Linked DNA regions of Mytilus edulis. The protein of the gene in region 2 purifies or fractionates together with the protein of the main gene of each other region. This does not show direct contact. Links are inferred from orthologs where the notes say so. Each region holds a gene or a part of one and is shown on either strand. Other genes may lie near its edges. The genes, in order: formin-binding protein 1-like and cdc42 homolog.

What was found.
Region 1: the proteins of cdc42 homolog (region 2) and formin-binding protein 1-like purify together in Drosophila melanogaster (affinity purification with western blotting; 4 studies listed by BioGRID). This does not show direct contact. The link is inferred for Mytilus edulis from reciprocal best matches to the Drosophila melanogaster genes Cdc42 and Cip4.

What each region holds. Positions count from the first base shown.
Region 1 is NC_092345.1:44,050,416-44,061,452, reverse strand, and holds the start of formin-binding protein 1-like, read right to left. Parts: upstream 5,427-11,037; 5' UTR 5,311-5,426; coding exon 5,287-5,310; intron 1-5,286.
Region 2 is NC_092356.1:47,829,126-47,840,529, reverse strand, and holds the start of cdc42 homolog, read right to left. Parts: upstream 5,127-11,404; 5' UTR 4,913-5,126; coding exon 4,906-4,912; exon of another isoform or gene 4,815-4,905; intron 4,703-4,814; exon of another isoform or gene 4,561-4,702; intron 1,491-4,560; coding exon 1,375-1,490; intron 505-1,374; coding exon 322-504; intron 1-321. UniProt on the Drosophila melanogaster protein: Regulates mbt kinase activity and is also required to recruit mbt to adherens junctions. Together with mbt and Frl, regulates photoreceptor cell morphogenesis. Together with Frl, has a role in the neuronal development of mushroom bodies.

The DNA.
Region 1 (11,037 bases), on a different chromosome or scaffold from region 2:
ATCAAACAAAGTTTAATTTTGGACCCCGATTTGGACCAACTTGAAAACTGGGCCAATAATCAAGAATCTAAGTACATTTTTAGATTCAGCATATCAAAGAACCTAGCTGATTCATTTTTTGTCAAAATCAAACTAAGTTTAATTTTGGACCCTTTGGACCTTAATGTAGACCAATTTGAAAACGGGACCAAAAGTTAAGAATCTACATACACAGTCATGACAGTAAGATTCAGCATATCAAAGAACCCCAATTATTCAATTTTGATGAAATCAAACAAAAGTTTAATTTTGGACCCTTTGGGCCCCTTATTATGTTGGGACCAAAACTCCCAAAATCAAACCCAACCTTTCTTTTATGGTCATAAACCTTGTGTTTAAATTTCATAGATTTCTATTTACTTATACTAACGTTATGGTGCGAAAACCAAGAAAAATGCTTATTTGGGTCCCTTTTTGGCCCCTAATTCCTAAACTGTTGGGACCTAAACTCCCAAAATCAATACCAACCTTCCTTTTGTAGTCATTAACATTGTGTTTAAATTTCATTGATTTCTATTTACTTAAACTAATGTTATTGTGCGAAAACCAAGAATAATGCTTATTTGGGCCCCTTTTTGGCCCCTAATTCCTAAACTGTTGAGACCAAAACTCCCAAAATCAATCCCAATCGTTCTTTTGTGGTCATAAACCTTGTGTCAAAATTTCATAGATTTCTATTAACTTAAACTAAAGTTATAGTGCGAAAACCAAGAAAATGCTTATTTGGGCCCTTTTTGGCCCCTAATTCCTAAAATGTTGGGACCAAAACTCCCAAAATCAATACCAACCTTCCTTTTGTGGTCATAAACCTTGTGTTAAAATTTCATAGATTTCCATTCACTTTTACTAAAGTTAGAGTGCGAAAACTAAAAGTATTCGGACGCCGGACGACGACGACGACGACGACGCAGACGCCAACGTGATAGCAATATACGACGAAAATTTTTTCAAAATTTGCGGTCGTATAAAAAATTAAGAAAAAATATGAATCCCTTAAAAAAATTGTACACAAAAAATCCCCGTCCCAACTTATTAAAACCTCCCTTGGAGCTATAACCCCAAAACTCAATCCCAGACTTCCCTTTGTTATATGCAACATTGTGGTACAATTTCAGAGAGATCCATACACTTACACACAAGTTTAACTATTATTATCTGGAAACTGCTTGTTTTTGGCCTTTAATTCCTAAACAGTTGGACCCATAAAAAAATGAATCCCAACCTTCAACTGGTGGTATTAAACCTTCTGAAAGAATTTCATGAAGATCTATAAAATTTTTTGCGGTTGTAAGAAAACAAGTAGTGCGCTTATCCTTCATTTGTCAGTTTAGTTTTTTCTGTTGTTGGGATGTACAAGTACCCAGCCACATCGACTCTGTTTTTGTTTAACTTATTTCTATTTGTATGCAGTGTTCTAGCTAATTTTCAAAGTTTGAACAGCGCGCAGCGCCTACCCTTTTATATTGACCCCTATTCCCTTCATGGTGACGCCTGCACCTTTTTCTCTGTCGTTTCGCAGGGGATTTATAGATCTCCTGCGATTTTAAAGTCCAGCAGAAAAGATTGTAACTTTAAGTCTTGAATATTATCACTCCATTTTAACTGAAACTTGATTTTACCATATAGCCCAAGTTATGTGGAGTATTTTGTTTGTAATATTATGTACATATATGCATTTTATGACATATGCTTATAAATTATGAGGCTTAGATATTTGCCTTTTTTTCAAAGACATTTATGCATAAAATTGCCATTTTTCACACTATAGTAAGCACCCTGTCAAATGCATTTTCTTAAAAAAAAATATTCTCAATCTATTGGTCTTTGAGAAAATGTAGTTTGTGCTGTATTTGGACCCTTCTTCAATGAAATTTGTTACATGCATACATATGAAAATTGCGGTTTTAATCCAACGCTGTCATAGGATTGAACGTTGTTTTCAATTTAGACTTGTTTATATTTATTTGGTTTGGGCTTGTATTATATTTTAAATTAATATAGAGATCCATTTTTTTTAGGTACAAAATGTATCAGGTCCGTTCGCACCCAATATACTTTCGCACCTCACATGTACGCCCCCTAATATTAGAATATCAGTTGAATTATTAGAATTTTGTTTTTAACAAATAATTTTATTTTCTTTTATTAAATTTGAGGAAGTATCATATAATTTTTTTTAATTTTAATTTGATGATTAATTATTAAATGTTAATTATGTATGATTACTGCTAATTGGTATACACAGCCTAATTTTGTGTTATTTTTTAGTGTTTTAAAAAAATCATGATTGTTGTTTTAAGTCTTTTAACTTGCTTTGATGTAAATAACTGCATAAATTTAGCTTGGTATGCCTAAAACTTTGAAGATCTTAAATAAAAAATATAATTGTTTTTAACAGCTTATGTGATCTCATGTGTGTTTGGACAATGGCTAAATATTTATAGCAATACACTCTCCAAAACTCGTAAATAATAAATAAGGCCGAGAAAAAAAAGATCGATGTTTCCGGTAAGGCCTAAATTAAAATATTGTTTGTTTGCCCTTTTCCGACCCTATGTTTTGAAACAGGGTAGGTAGGTAGGTAAAATATTTTATTTTTTCCCCCAAAAAAATAACTTGGCTCGGTATATTATTTGTCATGGGTAGGCAGGTAGGTATAATATTTTATTTTATATATACAAACTTTGCATAATGTAATTTGTGTCCGTTTGGTTTTTGCAAATAAGTTTTCTGGGACTATTAGTTTTAAAAAAAAATATCACGTAGAATGTGAAGCTAATTCATATGCACTACTATTTTGTTTTCAAATATCAAAATATAGAGCTGTGCCGCATATCTTCAACGTTTATATGCCTGGAACTTGGAAGAGTTTGAACTTGCACTTATATTCTGTACTATGTACCTTGTATGCTTACCTTAAGATTTTCTGTAAAAGATAACTTCGTATTGATAAGATATGTCCGGGCAGACATACATTACTAGTAGAAAAAGTCCCTAGAGTGTTAAAAATATCGTGTGTGCCTTTTGTTTCCAATAAAAATGCTACAAGACTTAAAACTCTGACAATTGTCACGACTCACGTATTTTACATCGCATTTATAAATGACCTGTATGGAAAACTTGGCGATTTTACTGCCAGATATTCCTCACTTTACAGGGTTTTGTCACTTTTGGTTCATGTCAGATATAAATAATATAGCGACATCGTTAACATAATCATCCTGATCTGCGGATCACAAAAGGCCATCCCTACAAAGAATACAACGTCCGTTTACAAATGAGTTTGTACACACGTTGATAATTTTGTATTAAACGAACTTTTTTGTAAATGAACCCTGCTCTTTAAATTAAGTATAAAGGTACAGAGTAGCGTACGTCATATCATGGAAGCGTTCACATGCTGAACATCGATTTCAAACAAATGCTTTGAAACTTCAATTGCAAGTGTTCATGTCAAACGCTCAGGTGATACTAAACGGACTTGACCTTATAACTTAAAGATAAAACCCGAGAAATCCGGGTAAAATAGTTTTGAGCGGGAAATACAAATACAATGTATAAGATTTTTGGTAGGAACGAAAAAATAAAATAAAATAAAATCTTGCTGGTAAATACAAATAAAAGATTTTCAGGCGCAACGAATTTATAGGGTCGGTCGGTAAAGGGCAAACAATCAATATTTTAATTTAAGCCTAACCCGACCGACCCTAACTTTTTTATTGGATCTTCAAAAAAAAATTTTAAAAAATTGTATCAACCGACCCCGTTTTTGACACAGGCTTCTGCATTTCTGATAGATGACATAATATTTTTTCTCTCTTGCTTCTACTTGCATAGAAAGCCAGTAAAACATTTTATTAATGTCAAAAGGTATTCCAAATAGGTTTAAATCCAAGAAATTTGCAGAGCAGGTGCTTCAAAAACATTGCAAATGGCACACTTCGGGTTTTTGAAACTAATTACGGATCCGGACTTGGAAAAACCATGATAATTTTCCGGATTTCATTTACGATGTCGGAAAAAAAAAAAAAGAAAAAAAAAAGAATTCTGACTTACCGACCCTATTTTTCAAAATGATGTTACCGGAAACACATATCTTTTTTTTTAAGGCCTAAATCAAATTTTGACTCGAGCATTATTATCTTTTTTACAAAAAAAAGATATGAAGATACAATGTTTGATTTGTATTTCATAGTATATGATAGTTTAAATAAAATAAAATTTGGGCGCGAATGTGTAGGGTGCGAACGGACCCGTTTTTTTTTTTTTACACCTTGTGATCAATTTATTTGGCAATCATCAATGGCAGTCAGCAGGGTTTAAGAATATCAGTTGTTCGACCTGCTAGTCAAATGCGTTTTGTTAAAATATTTTTTTCTTCATTCTTATGGTCTTTTGGAAAATGTTGATTGTGCTGTATTCAGATCCCTCTACAACGAAATTTCTTACATGCACACAAATAAAAATTGTGTTTTGTATCCAAATCAATCATAGGTTTGAACGTTGTTTACAATTTCAACTAGTTAATATGGCTAGTATATATAATAAACATCCTCCATCCCTTGCTATTATCCAAAATAAGGTTGATTTTCATCTCACGCAAAAGTGACTACAATGTATTTAAAGCCCTCAAATTCCTAAACCCTGCAATGTAATACTTTGTTAGAGTTATTATTGTTGACGGTCCAAGGAAACTTTATTGACAGTCAAATTTGACTTTATAGAAGGACCAATTTTACTTTTTAGTCCGTTTACTATGACTCAGTCTTATCCCACATTCATCATGTTCAATTAAAATGTTTATTATTTATTAAAAACCGATAATAAAAAACATATCATTGTCAAACAAAATAAAGATGTATTTATTTGGGGCAAAATAACTCAGCACAAATGGAAAGGGACAGAATTGAATTTGATGAACATAGAAATGATCAATCAGAGGGGGGCCAGAATTCTGACAGTTCACTCTAGAGACTATATTTTGCCTTTCATTTGTACATACATGTACATGACTTATTTCATTGTGTTCAAACTAATATGCAGTATCAAAAGCATGTCTATAACAAAGAATGTGGTGCTATAGTTTATCACACTATAGAGCCTTGTAAGCCAAGCTGACAACGATTTGAGTATCACACTAAATATTTTCCTTGAAACGACAACGGCTTCCTGTTATTTTGGTAAATTGTGGACGGTTTATGTAAATATATTGCAACTTTTGGCCGTTGCAACAATCTGGAAACTTACCCAAAGCTCAGTTCCCCAGCTCATGTCTGCATTAAGGAGCCCTTAGGGCAGTCAACATGTATAAAACGTTAAATATTTGACAATAACATTAGCCCAGCCTCTTATTACTTATCCAATATGGCGGATCTGACTCAATGAATAGGGATTATTATTTACATTAAGTTTCGTATACGGAATATTGTTATTGTTTTTTGGATTTTTTAGTGTTAAAAAATAGAAGAAATGATAAAATTGGGTTTAAATTAGGCTATCCCCGTTTTACAAACAGATTATTTACAGGATATTTGACAGACACAAAAAAATCAAGGGAGACAACTCCATTTATTTTTGTTTTATCTACATTTTTTTAATATGTAAATTAATAGTGTAGGAGTTTAATTAAGTTTTAGATTAACTTTATTATTTAGATTAGAAGTATTTATTTTTTTCGCATACTTCAAGTAAAGGTTTCAAACTTCATTGTTATAATCAGAGACATATAATAGATCATAATAGTGTACAAATACAAATATTTTATTAGCACAATCTGGGAACACAATAAACAATAAATTTAAGACTCATGGTAGTCTATATTAATTACATAGTTGATCATACATAATAAGTATTGCAAATAATGACTATATTAATTTGTAATAAATTTAAACAATGATTATATTCACAATTTTATAGAGTTTGTTCTGCTTTACGCAGGTTCAGACTGTCTGAAATGAAAGAGAAAGTCAATTTTAGGACTTTGTGTATGAATTATTATTTAATAAAAAGATAACAGAGCAGTAACGTTATCTCATTTCTGGGAATATTTAGATGTCTCCCTCTTTCACTCATCAGTATATGAGCGCTTATACGAATCTTACATATTGCAGCTCTGTCACTTCTGTTTTTCAATATACCAACGTAGGGTGGTCTCCTGCCTATTATGATTATATTATGTATAGACACTCTTGAAAAGGCCAGTCTAATTTTTTTATTCAAATATAAATAAATTTGGTGTATTTACTGTCTTCTGATTGGCTAAAAAAATTGGCTTTATTTTCAATGTTATCAATTTTTATGGAGACACGCCCACTCTAACGTTGTGTATTCATACGCAAACATCTGTGTACGTTGTTATTGGTATTAATATATATCTTTGAGCATTATTTTTGATAGAAATTTATTTATAATGAATGGCAGTAATTTATTTTGAATTTATTGAACCATAAAATTAATTTTTGACTGTTCACATTTAACATAATCCGCTTCGCGGATTATTCAATGTGAAGAGTCAAAAATTAATTTTATGGTTCAATAAATTCAAAATAAATAAAAGCCATTCATTAAATAGTTGCATTTTGAACTTGCAAACATTGGTCATTAATTTTTTGTTTAATGGAATTTAAATTACCTTTAACATAATTAAAGTTATTGATGATATAAGACATTCCAAGTCCATTCAAAGTGTATGTCCGAGTCTGCTGTATAAACCTTACCAGAATTGTTAAAATTATTAAAGTTAAAGTTTATACATATCATTTTGCAGAGGCATAAATGATAAATACATGTACATACGGAAATTTACGGAAAGAAAAATGGAGCGTGATATCTTTTTAAAAAAATAAGATTATAACTTTCTAAAAGGAAACTCTTTAGGACTTCTAAATGGTGTATTTCAACTGTGCTAAACTTATTTCAACATTAATGTTATTTGTCCCAGTTAATTGTGCGGATGTCAGATTTATGTAACATTTTTCACTATCTTCATAAGGAAAAATACGGATATTACATTCAAATTCTATTACAAGAAACTCTCAAGACATGCAACTTCTCAATTGTTCAATCCCTCTGATCTTCATTAATATCGATATACTGACCCTCTGCTGTTGTTTTTTATTTGGTCGGGTTGTTTTTTCTTTGACACATTCCCCATTTCCATTCTCAATTTTATTGTAATACATGTACATCCTGAATAAATCAATTGTTATTTTATTTTATCAAATTTAGAAAATTAACCATTCTAAAACGTTTTCCGTAAGAGCCTTATCTTTCATTCCTCTCTATCTGTATAGATGCACCATTGTCTCTATATCTTATCCCTTATGACCATGACATTTTTCTCAAATGTGTCGTTACTTTCTATTGGTTCCTTTTTTCAGTTAATAAATTTTCTCAGAATTTTCAGATAATCCCGGTTTATCTCAGATAAATTAGGATTAACTCAGCTTAATTGAAATTCGAGAAAATTCTAGCTTATCTGAGAAAATATAGAAAGTTCATTATCTGGAAAAAATCCCGGTTTATCTGAAAATTCTGAGATAAACCGGCATTATCTGAAAAAAATCGAGATAATCCCAGTTTATCTGAGCTTAATGTAAAAAAAGTGAGATAATCCTAGTTTATCTGAGAAAATCCTGGTTTATCTGAGATAATCTATGATTATCTATAAAAGTGGTTCAGGCGTGCCATATGTACACATATCATGTTTCTGATGTTTGTGTACTTTTCTATACAGTATGTGGACAAAAGTAAATCTTTCTTCTTACTGAACTGTATGTATTTTTAATAGTACTAAGAAACACATTTTCCAAAATTATTTTGCCGAAGCACTCGAGATCAGATTTTCATAAAATGTTCCCGGTTTATACATAAAAGAGGGACGAAAGATACCAAAGGGACAGTCAAACTCATAAATCGAAAATAAACTGACAACGCCATGGCTAAAAATGAAAAGGACAAACAGACAAACAATAGTACACATGACAAAACATAGAAAACAAAAGAATAAACAACATGAACCCCACCGAAAACTAGGGGTGATCTCAGGTGCTCCGGAAGGATAAGCAGATCCTGCTCCACATGTGGCACCCGTCGTGTTGCTAATGTGATAAACAAATCCGGTAAACAGTCCAATTTGGTAGGTCACACTCATGAAAGGGAAGGGGATTGTAGTTACGACGAAAGGAAATTAAAAAAGAGGGACGAAAGATACCAGAGGGACAGTCAAACTCATAAATCGAAAATAAACTGACAACGCCATGGCTAAAAATGAAAAGGACATAACATTTCATAGGAAGCTTCCATTTGATATTTATAAGGGGATAACAAGATGGACGAAAGATACCAGAGGGACAGTCAAACTCATAAATCGAAAATAAACTGACAACGCCATGGCTAAAAATGAAAAGGACATAACATTTCATAGGAAGCTTCCATTTGATTTTTATAAGGGGATAACAAATTTTGTCCAGTCTTTTTTTTTCAGTTGTAATCCATGTCCTGCCTATTTATTTTTCATTCTAGTCGGGCCTGCCTTAAAATTTTTTTGACTTTTTTTGTCATAAATTGTCATCCTGCTTTTTTATTTGCAAACAGTGTCTCATCCTGCATTTTTTTTACTCAAAACTCAGTAAAATGGTAGCTATAGCCTTCAATAGTATTTCAAAAAACAAAATCGTCGCAAATCATTTACAACCTTCTTTATAACTTATACATTGTATATGATACTAAACCCCTAACGGGAAGGATTGTGCCTGATGTTCATATGATGAAATCATAACCTTTCAGTCAGTTTAATTGAAGTCTGGAGCTGGCATGTCAGTTAAATGCTAGTAGTCTGTTGTTATTTATGTATTATTGTCATTTTGTTTATTTTCTTTGGTTGCATCTTCTGACATCAGACTCGGACTTCTCTTGAACTGAATTTTAATGTGCGTATTGTTATGCGTTTACTTTTCTACATTGGCTAGAGGTATAGGGGGAGGATTGAGATCTCGCAAACATGTTTAACCCCGCCGCATTTTTGCGCCTGTCCCAAGTCAGGAGCCTCTGGCCTTTGTTAGTCTTGTATTATTTTAATTTTAGTTTCTTGTGTACAATTTGGAAATTAGTATGGCGTTCATTATCACTGAACTAGTATATATTTGTTTAGGGGCCAGTTGAAGGACGCCTCCGGGTGCGGGAATTTCTCGCTACATTGAAGACCTGTTGGTGACCCTCTGCTGTTGTTTTTTATTTGGTCGGGTTGTTGTCTCTTTGACACATTCCCCATTTCCATTCTCAATTTTATCATAAATCGAAAATAAACTGACAACGCCATGGCTAAAAATGAAAAGGACATAACATTTCATAGGAAGCTTCCATTTGATTTTTATAAGGGGATAACAAATTTTGTCCTGTCTTTTTTTTCAGTTGTAATCCATGTCCTGCCTTTTTATTTTTCATTCTAGTCGGGCCTGCCTTAAAAATTTTGACTTTTTTTGTCATAAATTATCATCCTGCATTTTTTTTTGCAAACAGTGTCTCATCCTGCATTTTTTTAACTCAAAACTCAGTCCTGACTTGCCTTTTTTTTTTAAATTTCATTCTACCCCCTCTCCCCTAAATTTCAAATGGTAGCTATAGCCTGATAGTATTTCAAAAAACAAAATCGTCGCAAATCATTTACAACCTTCTTTATAACTTATACATTGTATATAATTGTTTTTACGACCGTACGAAGGCCGTCGTTATAAACTCCCATCATTATTGGTTTTATTGGTTTTGAATTCATGATCATGTTGAATGGTCTGGGAACTGAGGTACATGTTTAGTCCAAACTAGTTTTAAACATATTTATTTATAGTGGATTGGGAAACAAGTTTTGCAACTTATATTAATTCCTTTCCACTTTGCGGGTGCGAGTGCTGCCTTGTAGCGGCATTAGCCTACTCTTTTTCGAAATCTACAAGGGTGTCTTTAAAGTGCAAGAGATATGGCTCTCTCTTAACACGGGTCAGCCATTTATCGTCTCCTTCCGACGGACTATCATCGTTTCCTCAAGACCATACTCGCAGATGGTGTCAAGGGAGAGCCGAAAATTGAGTTCCTGAAATTTTCATCCCAAACGGGAATCGAACCCGGAACCTTTGTGTTAGTAGTCCGATGCACTAACCACTACACCACGGCTCTCCAAATTAGAAAAGCAATCACCCTTTAAGGTAAGTGTTTTTGCCAAATTCCTTATAAACACTGGTAATATCGAAGTCCTTGAATGCTCCATTTCTCAGTTAACATTTGGATTTCAAGATAAAGATGTACTTAATGAAGAAATTATGATATATTGTTTTCAGGCTGTTTTTGGTTCCATTTACTTAGTTATTTAGATAGCGCTTTTACATTTGACATTCATCGTCTCCGTTAAAAAAAAAACTAGATCAAGCTGTGGTCTGCATCCCCAAATCTCCAGGAGAATTGCTACTGCTACACAATGATATAAATTTTAAAAATGATTTTTAAGACAACTTAGATTCAAAATAATAGTGTGTAGAATGAAGCAAAGAAAAGGAAGGATATTGTTCGATTGATAGATTCTTTTTTGTTTACGTTCAGTGGCAAATAGTTCATGCTTATTTAGGACACGACAATGATATTAAATAAAATAGGTAAGCTCTGCAATGGATTGGTCGGATAAACGATAAGAACTTTCACTTCCGCTTAATTTTAGTCACAATTTGTAAAAGTAAACTATTGCTAATTATTGAAGGCCGTACGGTGACCTATAGTTGTTAATGTCTGTGTTATTTTGGTCTCTTGTGGACAGTTCTCTCATTGGCAATCATACCACATCTTCTTTTTTATATATTATAGGTCAAAGCACGGTCTTTAAAACGAAGCGGCTTGGCTCACACCAAACAATTAACAAGCTATAAAGGGTCATAAAAATTACTAGTGTGAAACAATTCAAACAGGAAAACCAACAGTATAATCTATATAAAAAACGAGAAACGACACACTCTC
Region 2 (11,404 bases):
TAACTGATGAGTCTTATGTAGACTACAAGCGTGTCTGGTGTATTGAATTATAATCCTGGTATCTTTGATAACTACTATATGTGTCTATATATTACCTTTTCTTTCACATTTTCAAATGATGCTGGTGAGACTACAAGCGTGCCTGGCGTACTGAATTATAATCCTGGTACAAATGTACCTTTGATAACTACTATATGTGTCTATATATTACCTTTTCTTTCACATTTTCAAATGATGCTGGTGAGACTACAAGCGTGCCTGGCGTACTGAATTATAATCCTGGTACTTTTGATAACTACTATATATGTTTCTATATATTACCTTTTCTTTCACATTTTCAAATGATGCTGGTGAGACTACAGAGAAACAAACAAGGAAGACATCTGTTTGTGGATAACTCAATGGACGTAATCTGTCGTAATCTTCTTGTCCGGCTGTATCAAATAAACCTAAGGTATAGGGTTCTCCACCTATCATAACAGTTACTGCATAATTATCAAATACCTGCAAAAAATACAAGTGGGTTAGCAAAACAAGTTTCATTGGTTTCAGAAGGAACTTTAGAGTAATAATAATGAATGATGGGTGAGTTTGCAATGACTAAAGCATGTGATTGTCAAACATAATATAAATCTATGTTGACAAGAGTATAAGAAATTGTTTTCTCTCTCTAGATCTCTCTCTATTGATCTACATGTATATGTTCATACATGTACATGTACACAGAAATATTGCAAAAAAATAGTTTTAATAATATATATATTTATCCACAAACTGTTTAAGATTTACACTCTGTATCTTTTAATTTATATATATATATTTATATATATAACTTGTCTAAAAATCAACCCAACAATGTTAGATCTGTAAATTTGCTTTTACAAATGTTTTGTTCTTCCCTCGCCAGGATTTGAACTCATGCTACTGAGATAACGTGACACCAAATCGCCTGCGCTGTATCTGGCGCGCTAGACCACTCGACATATATTGGTCATTCTCAGCAGAATTACACCCAAAATAACAATCAATTGAATTTTTTTTACAGTATGCCAAATTATAAATCATTAGTTTTAGCTGCAGAAAAATCTGTGTATTGTATAAAATTGAAAGAGACACTAAATTGATTTTTACTTTTATCAATGTTTATAAATCATGTAAATGTGTTATAGTTTTATAGAATTTTGATTCACAATATTCACAACATCATGTTGACTTTCTTGCATTGTCAGCATTTTTGTCCCATTGGCATTGTACACAAAATTTAACTAGTTGTACACAAAGCAAATTTGGGACTCTCACCACAAATTAAAAGGTTAAGTAATACCATTTTGCTCTGCAAATGTGAAATAAAATGTTTTGAATGTATAAACTTACTGTTGGTACATATTCTGAAGGGAATTTATTAGTTGTATAAGATATTAATAAACATGTCTTTCCTACAGCACCGTCTCCCACAACCACACACTTGATTGTCTGCATGGTGGAAATATCTGAAAAAAGAATAATAAACAATATTAACTAGAGCAAAGTCTTCTATATTTTTTTGGTATATAGATTTTAATCATTAAATGTATGCTTAAAGGAATGACTAGGTTTTAAATCCTACCCATGTATTTGAAGAAGCTACATTGTACCATAAGTGGCTAAACATGTACTGTAGACAAGTCTTAAAGAATGACTAGGTTTAAAACCCAATCCATGTTAAATTGTATCTGAAGACACCACCATACATTGTAAGTGTTGAAACATGTAGACCAGAAAAAAGCATTTCCTTGTAGTAATCCAGGATGTTGTTGTCTTTTTATAGTTTTACCTTCCAATGTTTGTTAATTCTTAAATAATCATAATAATTAAATAGAAGCATTTGTTGAGTTGTAGTAATTGTCAAATTTAGCTTTAGTTACCCTGGAATTTACTTCCCTATTGCACATGCTGTCATGGCTGTAACATGTGTATAAACAATTAAAATATGCAATGTTTTACCACACTTGGTTTATATGACTTTTACCACATTTCTTCCTTAGAATCATTTTCATACATTTATGACTTTTTTATGTCCTCTTATTCATGTTATTTCTGACAATAAGCAACAATCTATAAATAACCAAAGCATACATGTACCTACTTTGACCTATAATCATGATAATTTGTAACTTTTACTACATGTATGCATTGTGTCAATGTGACTTGGATTGACAGTTGTCTCATTGGCACTCATTCCACATCTTCTTACTTACACTGTAGGTTTTTTTTTTAAATGAATGACAGTTAGTAAGTATTTTATATTTTGGTGTATGAATCTGAAAATGATTGAACCAAGACTTGTGTATGTTGACTAAAGTTATGACACATAACTTGGGTTCTCATGTATTATATGTACATTCAGTCATTGTAACTGAACTTTTAATTTTCCATTTTTAATCATTTGTCGTTGTTTTTCCCCACTTTACCTTTATCTGATCATCGACAGTATACAATGTATATGAATATCAAAAATCAAACATCCATTTTAAAATTAAGTAAATTCTATCCAATATCAAAATGTTGTTTTTTACACCTATCCACAGAACTTGGCACACAATCAGCAAAACTTCTAAAAAGTCACATTTGGCAACCTTTTGAGATCGTAATATGCTTATCTGTTATCATGCTCATACCACATTATTTATTTCGCTTTAAAAGGCTTAAAGCATCTTCAAAATTGATTAAAATAAGTTTTTTGTGTTTGTCCAACTAGCTGGTATATATAATTATATATAATTTCACCCTGGTTACATACATTTTGTACTTTTAAAATTAGTTTTTAATTTATAATTTTTGTTCTTGTGCATGTTTCACACTTTTTTTTGTTTAGCCTGATTAAATTTGTACAGCAAAATCAAGCTACAATTGTAACCAGCATATACTTAATTTGGAGGACAGTGAGCAATGGTGAGTGAAGAAATGAAAACAAAATAATTAAAAATTAACTCATTGTTTCTCTCAACTGACACACTTTTTTTTCATATGACATATAAATGTACATGTAGTTGATGGGCAATTAAAGTGTCCCTTATATTTAAAACTTAGACAAATAAGGTTGACTACTTTTGATCTATAAACATGATAAATAAGACAGAAAAATAATTTATTTTCTGAATTTCCTTCCAGGGGACAATCTGATATTCACCATGTCTGAAATTCTCGCTGCCATATTTATTTTTTAAACCCTTGTTCTTTGTTTGCATCTCATGTTTTCTACTTGACTCGTCGTTCTTTTTGTCTTGCTTGCCTTATGTTTTATTAAGTATTTATCAATCTGAATCTACATTCAAAATCTAAAGAAATGACACATCGGGTGAATGATAGATAAAACGAATCCGGGTCAGTTCTCGCCTGATTTTTATTAGTTTTGTACATGTATGTACAAATGTAATAACTTTGTAATCAAGTTTTGGCAAGTGCATTCCTATAAGTACTGTATATAAGTTGTCATTGTCTCAAAATAAAGTGAGACAATGGTTTTTTTCCATGTTGAATAAATCTTAATCATGTTTTGGATAGTGAATTGTTGAAAAAAAAATTATTGTTTCTAAATAAAGTGAGATTCTATCAACTTTTGTGTTGAATGAATCTTAATCATGTTTTGGTTAGTAAAATGCTATAATTTATTGTTTTAAATTATTGTTGGAACTTTCAGATCAATGAGCCAAGCAGTTGAGTTAAAAACACTTATCTTTTGTGGTTTTCATTTAAAATCTTCAATGTTTTACTCATACCAAGCTAAATACATGCAGTATTTATATCACAGCAATTTAAAACAATTAACAATCATAATTTTCTAATTATTAAACTGGAATTTGATTTTAAATTTTGTGTGAACGTGTAGGGAGCCAACAGACCTTGGGTGCGAACGTGTAGGGTGGGAAAGTGTATTAGGCGTAAACGGACCTGATACCGGATATAAAACGTAATTGACTGTCCCTGGTCAATAGACAAAGCCAAAACAATGTTATATGCGACTCTGGTTCTCATACAAATGTACTTATTTTTATTCATTTTCGGAATCAACCTATTTCCGATGTTATTTAATAGCTATCATCATGAACATTGATGTTTTGACTAAAATATATATTTTTACTTGCTGATCATTGGTTTCTTTAACATAAATTAAACATCTTTATACCATTTGTATACGTTTTGACTATTTTTGTTGGATTTGAACTTTGTCTTGTACAAATGTATATTTTTTTACTTGTCGACGGGCAACCCAGACAAACATAATTACTTGTCCAGTTGTTCAAATGTAGGAGTCTGATAGTATTTTCACACCCCTGAACCCTGATGATTGATTTTTAAAATTTTTTTTTTATTGTTTACAAAACAAGATGTTCAGTTACGTTAAGTTTTAAGTGTACACAATTTAAAACAGCAAATAGGATGAACTTTAACAGGCTTTTTTTTTATTTATTATAGAGACACAGTACACTGTAATGCCTGTACAGAGATACATGATAAACAAGGCACTCCCAAGCCCCCTTTTTGGTTTGAAAAAGTCTGTGTTTTCATTCATTTATTTACCAAATAAAATGCACAGTTTACTTTGATAACTGTTCAAGGGAAAAACTTCTTTCAAATGAAACGTTATAAGTTAGAATTACGAGGATTAAAGAGGAGAACATTAACATTTACAGGCACCGGAAGCCATGCCGCCATTATTTTTGACAGACTCCGAGCAAGAATTCATTGGATAAAGAATCTCAGAGTTAAATGGGACAGATAAATCCCAAAAGAGTCCTTTGGATTGATGCCTCAAAAACTATCTAACTTCATACTTAGATCTTTTGTTGATAATCATTCAAATAATACCTACAATACTAATTTCCGGGGTGTTCAGTTAATCCAATTTTAACCGGAAAAACTTACAGCGCATGCGTCTATGACGTGATTTTCTTCTTAAAATAGCTCCAATAAATACACTAGTAACGTAGCACCTGTCAACATTCAAATGATCGGCAATACACAAATTCAGCTGATATATGTCCCAAGTTTAAATCCAAATATAACGACGAATCAAATTTCTGGCCTATTTTTATGGTTCTATTCTTGGATAAAACGAGAAAATAGAATAAGAGTTTTGATATAGACTATTTTTTTCAGTATAGATCGATCTATACAGTCAGTGATTAAACCGTTTTATTATCTTTTTAAGTCAATTGTTGAATGAATAGGTTAACTATATACATGATATATATTAAAGGATATGAAGGTGTTTTACAGAGATAAGAATTCTGTGCAAAAAAGTAAGCCTGGAAGGGAGGCCAAAAAGTATAGATAAAAGAAGGTAGAGGTGATGAAATATATACATAATCAAAATATTGATTGATTGTTGGTTGTCTAAAGTCCAGTGGCAAATATTTGATGCTTGTTTAGGACGAATATAAAAAAGATCAATTGACAGGAAAATAAAGTATAAAGTGAAATAGTTACGATGATGTGACCCCCCTAAAAAAAAACCCAACACAACAACAACAAAAAACAACAAAATAAACCCACCCACACTCGCATATATACATGTATACATCTCAAAAAATATATAAATTTTGGTTTTGGTGCCCCCCCCCCCAGGAATCGAGGTTCTGGATCCGCCCCTGTGTTCTGTGATTAATTATTAACTAATCAATCAGAAAATCATATGGACACAGTTATAGCGTATTTGTTTGTTTGTTAGTTAATTGTATAGACATATTTTTTTAAATATTCAGTGACCGGATAATTTTCCGCCGTATTTTTTGTCTACTCATGTGTATTTAATTATCAACGATGGCCTAAATAAAAATAATAAATCATACATTCTGTATAAATATTCGCTTATCTTTCGCCATATGACAAGGTCATGTATACATGCAGTTGAATGATGTCTTCTTTTTAAAAAAAATCAAATTTATATAATTAAACCCTTATGGGTGTACATGCAGATTGACATGCCCGAAATCTTCTGCATTTATTAGTGGAAATCGGGATTTCAACTAGCCCTCAGTAACTGCGAGTAGTCTTAGATTAGAACTCTGGGACTTTTTTTTGTAGTTGCTATAGTTATTCGATTTTCAATGAGTTAATGCTTTATCTGATTTTCAATGAGTTAATGCTTTATCTGATTTTCGATGAGTCAAAGCCTATTCAACCTATGTTTAGTTGTTTCTAATGTTCTGCTGTTAACCACTGTCAAATGTTTAGTAGGGTCCTAAGTTTCGGATGGGCCTAAGTTTCGGAGGGATTCGGACTCTCATATACATATTAATGTGTCTATGATTGAGATATAATTGGCATCAATAAGACAGCAACCACATAACACGGATAAAACAAAAGAGACTATTGAAGGTTGTCATTACGTTTTCAATAATGAACGGGCACAAACCCTAAAATTATACCATGCAAACTCAGAATCGCTTTGAATCTTTACAAGTTACGTTAGCTAGTCAAAAGGTAGTTTGACCGTTCATCAGGTTCAAATGGTTGCAAGACTTTTGTTTCCGAGCACAGCTGCTAATCAAGGAGCATATATATAGATACTATGAGAATGAATACTAAAAGGAAACCCTTCGGTCATTCATAACCACTAGATCATTCGTGGTATGCATTGTAGTGTGTAGGAAGCTGCCAGGTGAGCGACCAAATCTTTGGGGTCGTTTTAGGTATAATTAGACTGCTCGGATGAAAAAATATGATTTAATCTTGCCCGAAATGCATATTAGTATAGTAATAGTATGCAGATCAAAGGTTACAAGCGTAAACAATTATGCATGCTTCACAGCGCTAGCAGTTCAGTTTCGTAATACAGCTTTTTTTTTTTTTTTATTATTTTTTATTTTTTTTATCAAATTTGGAAATATCAAAACTATCCAATGTTGTTAGGCTACGTACGCTCCTCTAAGGTTAGGGTGGAGAGTATCGTAGTTAAAACTAACAGCGGATCTGATTTTCATTGCATCAAACACTCAATCTATTACAATGGCGGATCCAGGGGGTGGGGTCGGAACCCCCCTTTTTTTTGGACGCTCAATGCATCAATCTCCCATACAGACAGAGTTATCGTCCTTTCCTCCTCCTCCTGTCTGTATGGGAGATTGTCAATGCATTTGAATGTAGTTGCCCCCCTTGTCTTTGGTTACTGGGGAACCCCCTTTTTAAAATGGCTGGACCCGCCCCTGTATTACATAATGTTGTCTGCTTAAAGGGATAATTCGCGAATTTTTACTTATCAGCTAATTATGTCCATAATACAATAAAAAACATATTCACCAAGTTTTATCTGGATATGAACAGCAATAAAGGAGAAAATTAAGAATTATTAATTTTATTTCTTCGAACTTCCTGACTTATGTGACGTAGTTTATGTCTTTAAGCATGCCGGGAGTGGAAATAATCTCATTTTAAATCTTAATCGTTAATCATCTTATAACGCTATTTAAAGCGCATAGACGACGTTTGGTGTGGCTATTAACCAACTAATAATTAAGATGGAACAGCGCTCATTTTGAAAGTAGAATGTACGATTTATATTTTAATATTTTCTGAAATGTTTATAGTGATACAAGTAAATCATATATATAAAATATTTTTTTATGATTTTTTTTTCCGACGGATATTTTGAACTTACATGTATAACTGGTAGTGTTTTAAAAATGCATGTTTGTACTTTTTACCTTTTACGTCAGGCTAGTAAATATGTGCTGCTAGTACATTTGTAGTGTGCAAATACGGCCCCGCAAATACAATGTGTATTGTACTTTGACACATAGTGACTACCTGTTGAATGCGTGGTTAAATTCAAGTTAATTAAAAGATTAGCATTTTGTATCTTTTGATCTTTACTCAGTGAATTTAAGCCGTCACGGTTCACTTTTCTAGGTGTGAACATTTCGTATGAATGATAAACGGGGGAATCTTAATATTTTCCATGAGCTCAGTTTAATTAAATATATTATTGACGCTGAATATTTTTTGTTAAAAACAAGGAATACTGAATTAATTTAATTGAATAAATTTATGAATAATGATGTAAAAATTCTAAATAAGAATCGGTGACCTTGAATTTTTGAAATAGATAGTATAATTACCAATTGCAGTTATATAAGGCGATCTTCTTTTTTTTTTTTTTTTTAATATTCAGGAAGTAATGTCCTTTCACCACGTACTAATTCTTCAGCTATTTGAACGAAAATATCAAAAATGTTGACAGAAAATTTAAAGGTCAACTTTGTCTTACTGAAAGGGAGGGAGAGCTCCAGACGTACTTACTAACAGACAAAGCAGGCTTGTGGCTTATCGTCAGTTTGTGTGCTGGGTCAGGAAAGGTCAACCACTTGGCAAGAAACATAGAATAATCATACCGGCTTGTGTAGTAAACATAATTAGAAAAGAGTTTCCATCGTTGGATGGGGTATACGAATGATTCAAAGAATGTGAAAGTGACACTTCAGATTGAATAGTTCTAAAATCATTTAAACGATTTACCAATACATTTTTTATTGGTTATTGGTTATTTTTTGCTATGACGTTGTCAGTGTGTTTTTTAATACTGAAATTGACTATCCGTTTTGGTACCTTCTGCCTTTTTACAAACAAGACCATGAAACTGAATATTGGAAATGTATCATGCTACTTCAAAAGAAAAAGCACTAATGGATTGTCCTAGAAGCATATTTTATGAGAATAATAATGGTCTATAAGCAGTTACATTTATTTCATGTTTGAAGCGGTGTATTTTTTTAAAATTTAATTTGACTTTTACCAAGAAATGCATTGTAGCAAAGGGGAAGAGTAATTGTGGTCTAGTGTCAGATACTCGAAAATAATGAAATTTAACATAAAAGGAAACAAATAACGGACTTTGGCAAAAATGGAGAGGGCTTTTGATACCTTTTCTCCAGACATAAAATCTTTTACAATAAATCATCCTACAACAGCTTAAAAGCTTGAAATGCCAGCGATTTCGCGGTGTGTTTTAGTGTTCTCAAAATCTTATATTGATAAAAATGACAACTCCTTTAAATAATTGAAGGTACATGTACAGGAAGACAAACGATTACCGCACGTTCTGGAGACATGCCACGAACTAAGTATCATAATTGCGCATGCTTGTCTCTTCACATACAAGTAAACGCAAATTTTCTAATAGGCAAAATATTTCGTAAATGCGCCCGCTCATATCGGAAATAGGACAAGAAAGTATGAAAGATAGTCATCCGTAATCTCTCGGTTAAATTCTCTAGAATTTACTCCAAACAATGTTGTAAAATGATGTAGTATGTTTTTTCTTTCTTAAATTATTCATCACAACTCAAGACCGCATAACGTAAATTAAACAGTTGCTAAGCAAATAAAACAAGCTCACAAAACATTATGTAAGCTATTGTGTACAAAAGCATTGGCGTTGTTTTGTTTTTCAATTATATCCATCATGAAGTCAGGGACATAGAAATACAAATTATTTGTAGTATAGGTCTCTGATGAAGTGAAGTGCATCATATCAGTTCACCATAAGTATTTTCATTGTTTTTTTAGTTATCTCCCGTTGAATGTAAGACAAGTACATTTTTTTTATGGATAGATGGAAAAATGTAAGCCAATGAAACCACTAAAACGCAACAATTACAAAAATAACAGAAAGGATACCTAGATAATTAACAATTGAAGTGAATAATCAATTGACCGCCTTTGTTCAATGCTGTATCTTGCAGGAATCTGAATTCTGCAGATAAACACGGTCAGCATAGGACTAAAAAAAAGAAGATGTGGTATGATTGCCAATGAGACAACTATCCACAAAAGACCAAAATGACACAGACATTAACAACTATAGGTCACCGTACGGCCTTCAACAATGAGCAAAGCACATACCGCATAGTCAGCTGTAAAAGGCCCCGATAAGACAATGTAAAACAATTCAAACGAGAAAACTAACGGCCTTATTTATGTAAAAAAATTAACGAAAAACAAATATGTAACACATAAACAAACGACACCCACTGAATATACAGGCTCATGACTTGGGACAGGCACATACATAAATAATGTGGCGGGGTTAAACATGTTAGCGGGATCCCAACCCTCCCCCTAACCTGGGACAGTGGTATAACAGTACAACATAAGAACGAACTATAAAAATCAGTTGAAAAAGGCTTAACTCATCAGATGGACAAAAATATAAGTGGACGTGGCCGGGTACTTATACATCCCGACACAAAAAGACACAATGAACAGATCTGAGAGTACTCGCAGTTATCTGACATCTAGTTCAAAGCCACTAACAACTAATAAAAAAATCATGCATCTAAGACTAAACTATCAATCCGTACACATCCAACATCCAATGGATTTAGTGTAATTTGTAAAGACATCATAAACAGCCAGAGAAAAACATGACCATAGTCTTTTTGTCTTACTGCTTGGCTATTGTCCAGTAGCAGTTATTTCAAGCATGTTCAGATATTTACAAATAAAATAAAAAAACCGGGATAAAGGGCTATATATAGATTTGGATTGCCATAAACTTGGAATTAAGGGTATGTTGGATAAAGCCAAATGTTTGCCTTGCAATAGGCTACCTTCGGACGCTTCGTATGATTATTGCAAGGGATTTTAAACATACGGAGATCTTGACACCCTACCCTTTGGTAGGCATAGGATTTATTGACCGGACATGACTGCGCTTTAACCCACCAAGTGCACACAATTAACAGACTGTAGGAAGGGTTTAACTGCCGAAGGGGCGATGGGAAAATCCTGTTTTTTGCCCCAGTAAACCATTGAGATGATCGTTATGCAAGTTATGTAAGTCTTGCACAAATTCCCTTACCACTTATACCCCAAAATCCTATGAAAAATTTACGTACTAACATTTTTTAGACTCTACAAGACAAGATCTCTTATAGGTTAACATAGCCAATTATGTGTCGGTCCTAAAAAGAAGTAACCCCTGTAATGATGATGTGTGTCCATCTTTTGCGAAACTATAGAAATAAAAAAAAAACAACGAGAACAACAAGAAATAGCAAGACAAGACAAAAATACCGTAATGACTAAAATATTTTCAACAGATTTACACCTATGCGTAGTAACTATTGTGTTGTATAGATATGTATTTCTTTTGCAGTATGTTATTTTTCTAATGGGCCCGATTCAGTGATGTTTCATTTTACAAAGTCTATATACAAATTATTTTTGCTAGGGATTCTACTCATGCCGTTGCTATATATAGCGGCCGTTGCAATCTTGCAGTGAGGTGAGTGTTGTTTATGCTCCGTGTTGAAGGTCTCGCTATGATTTTGAGATGAAGATCAGCAATAAAAGCCTTTGTGTTTTTTTGTTTGCTGTATATCCTTGTTTTTTCTATTAAGATCCCCCCACCAAAAAAAATTAA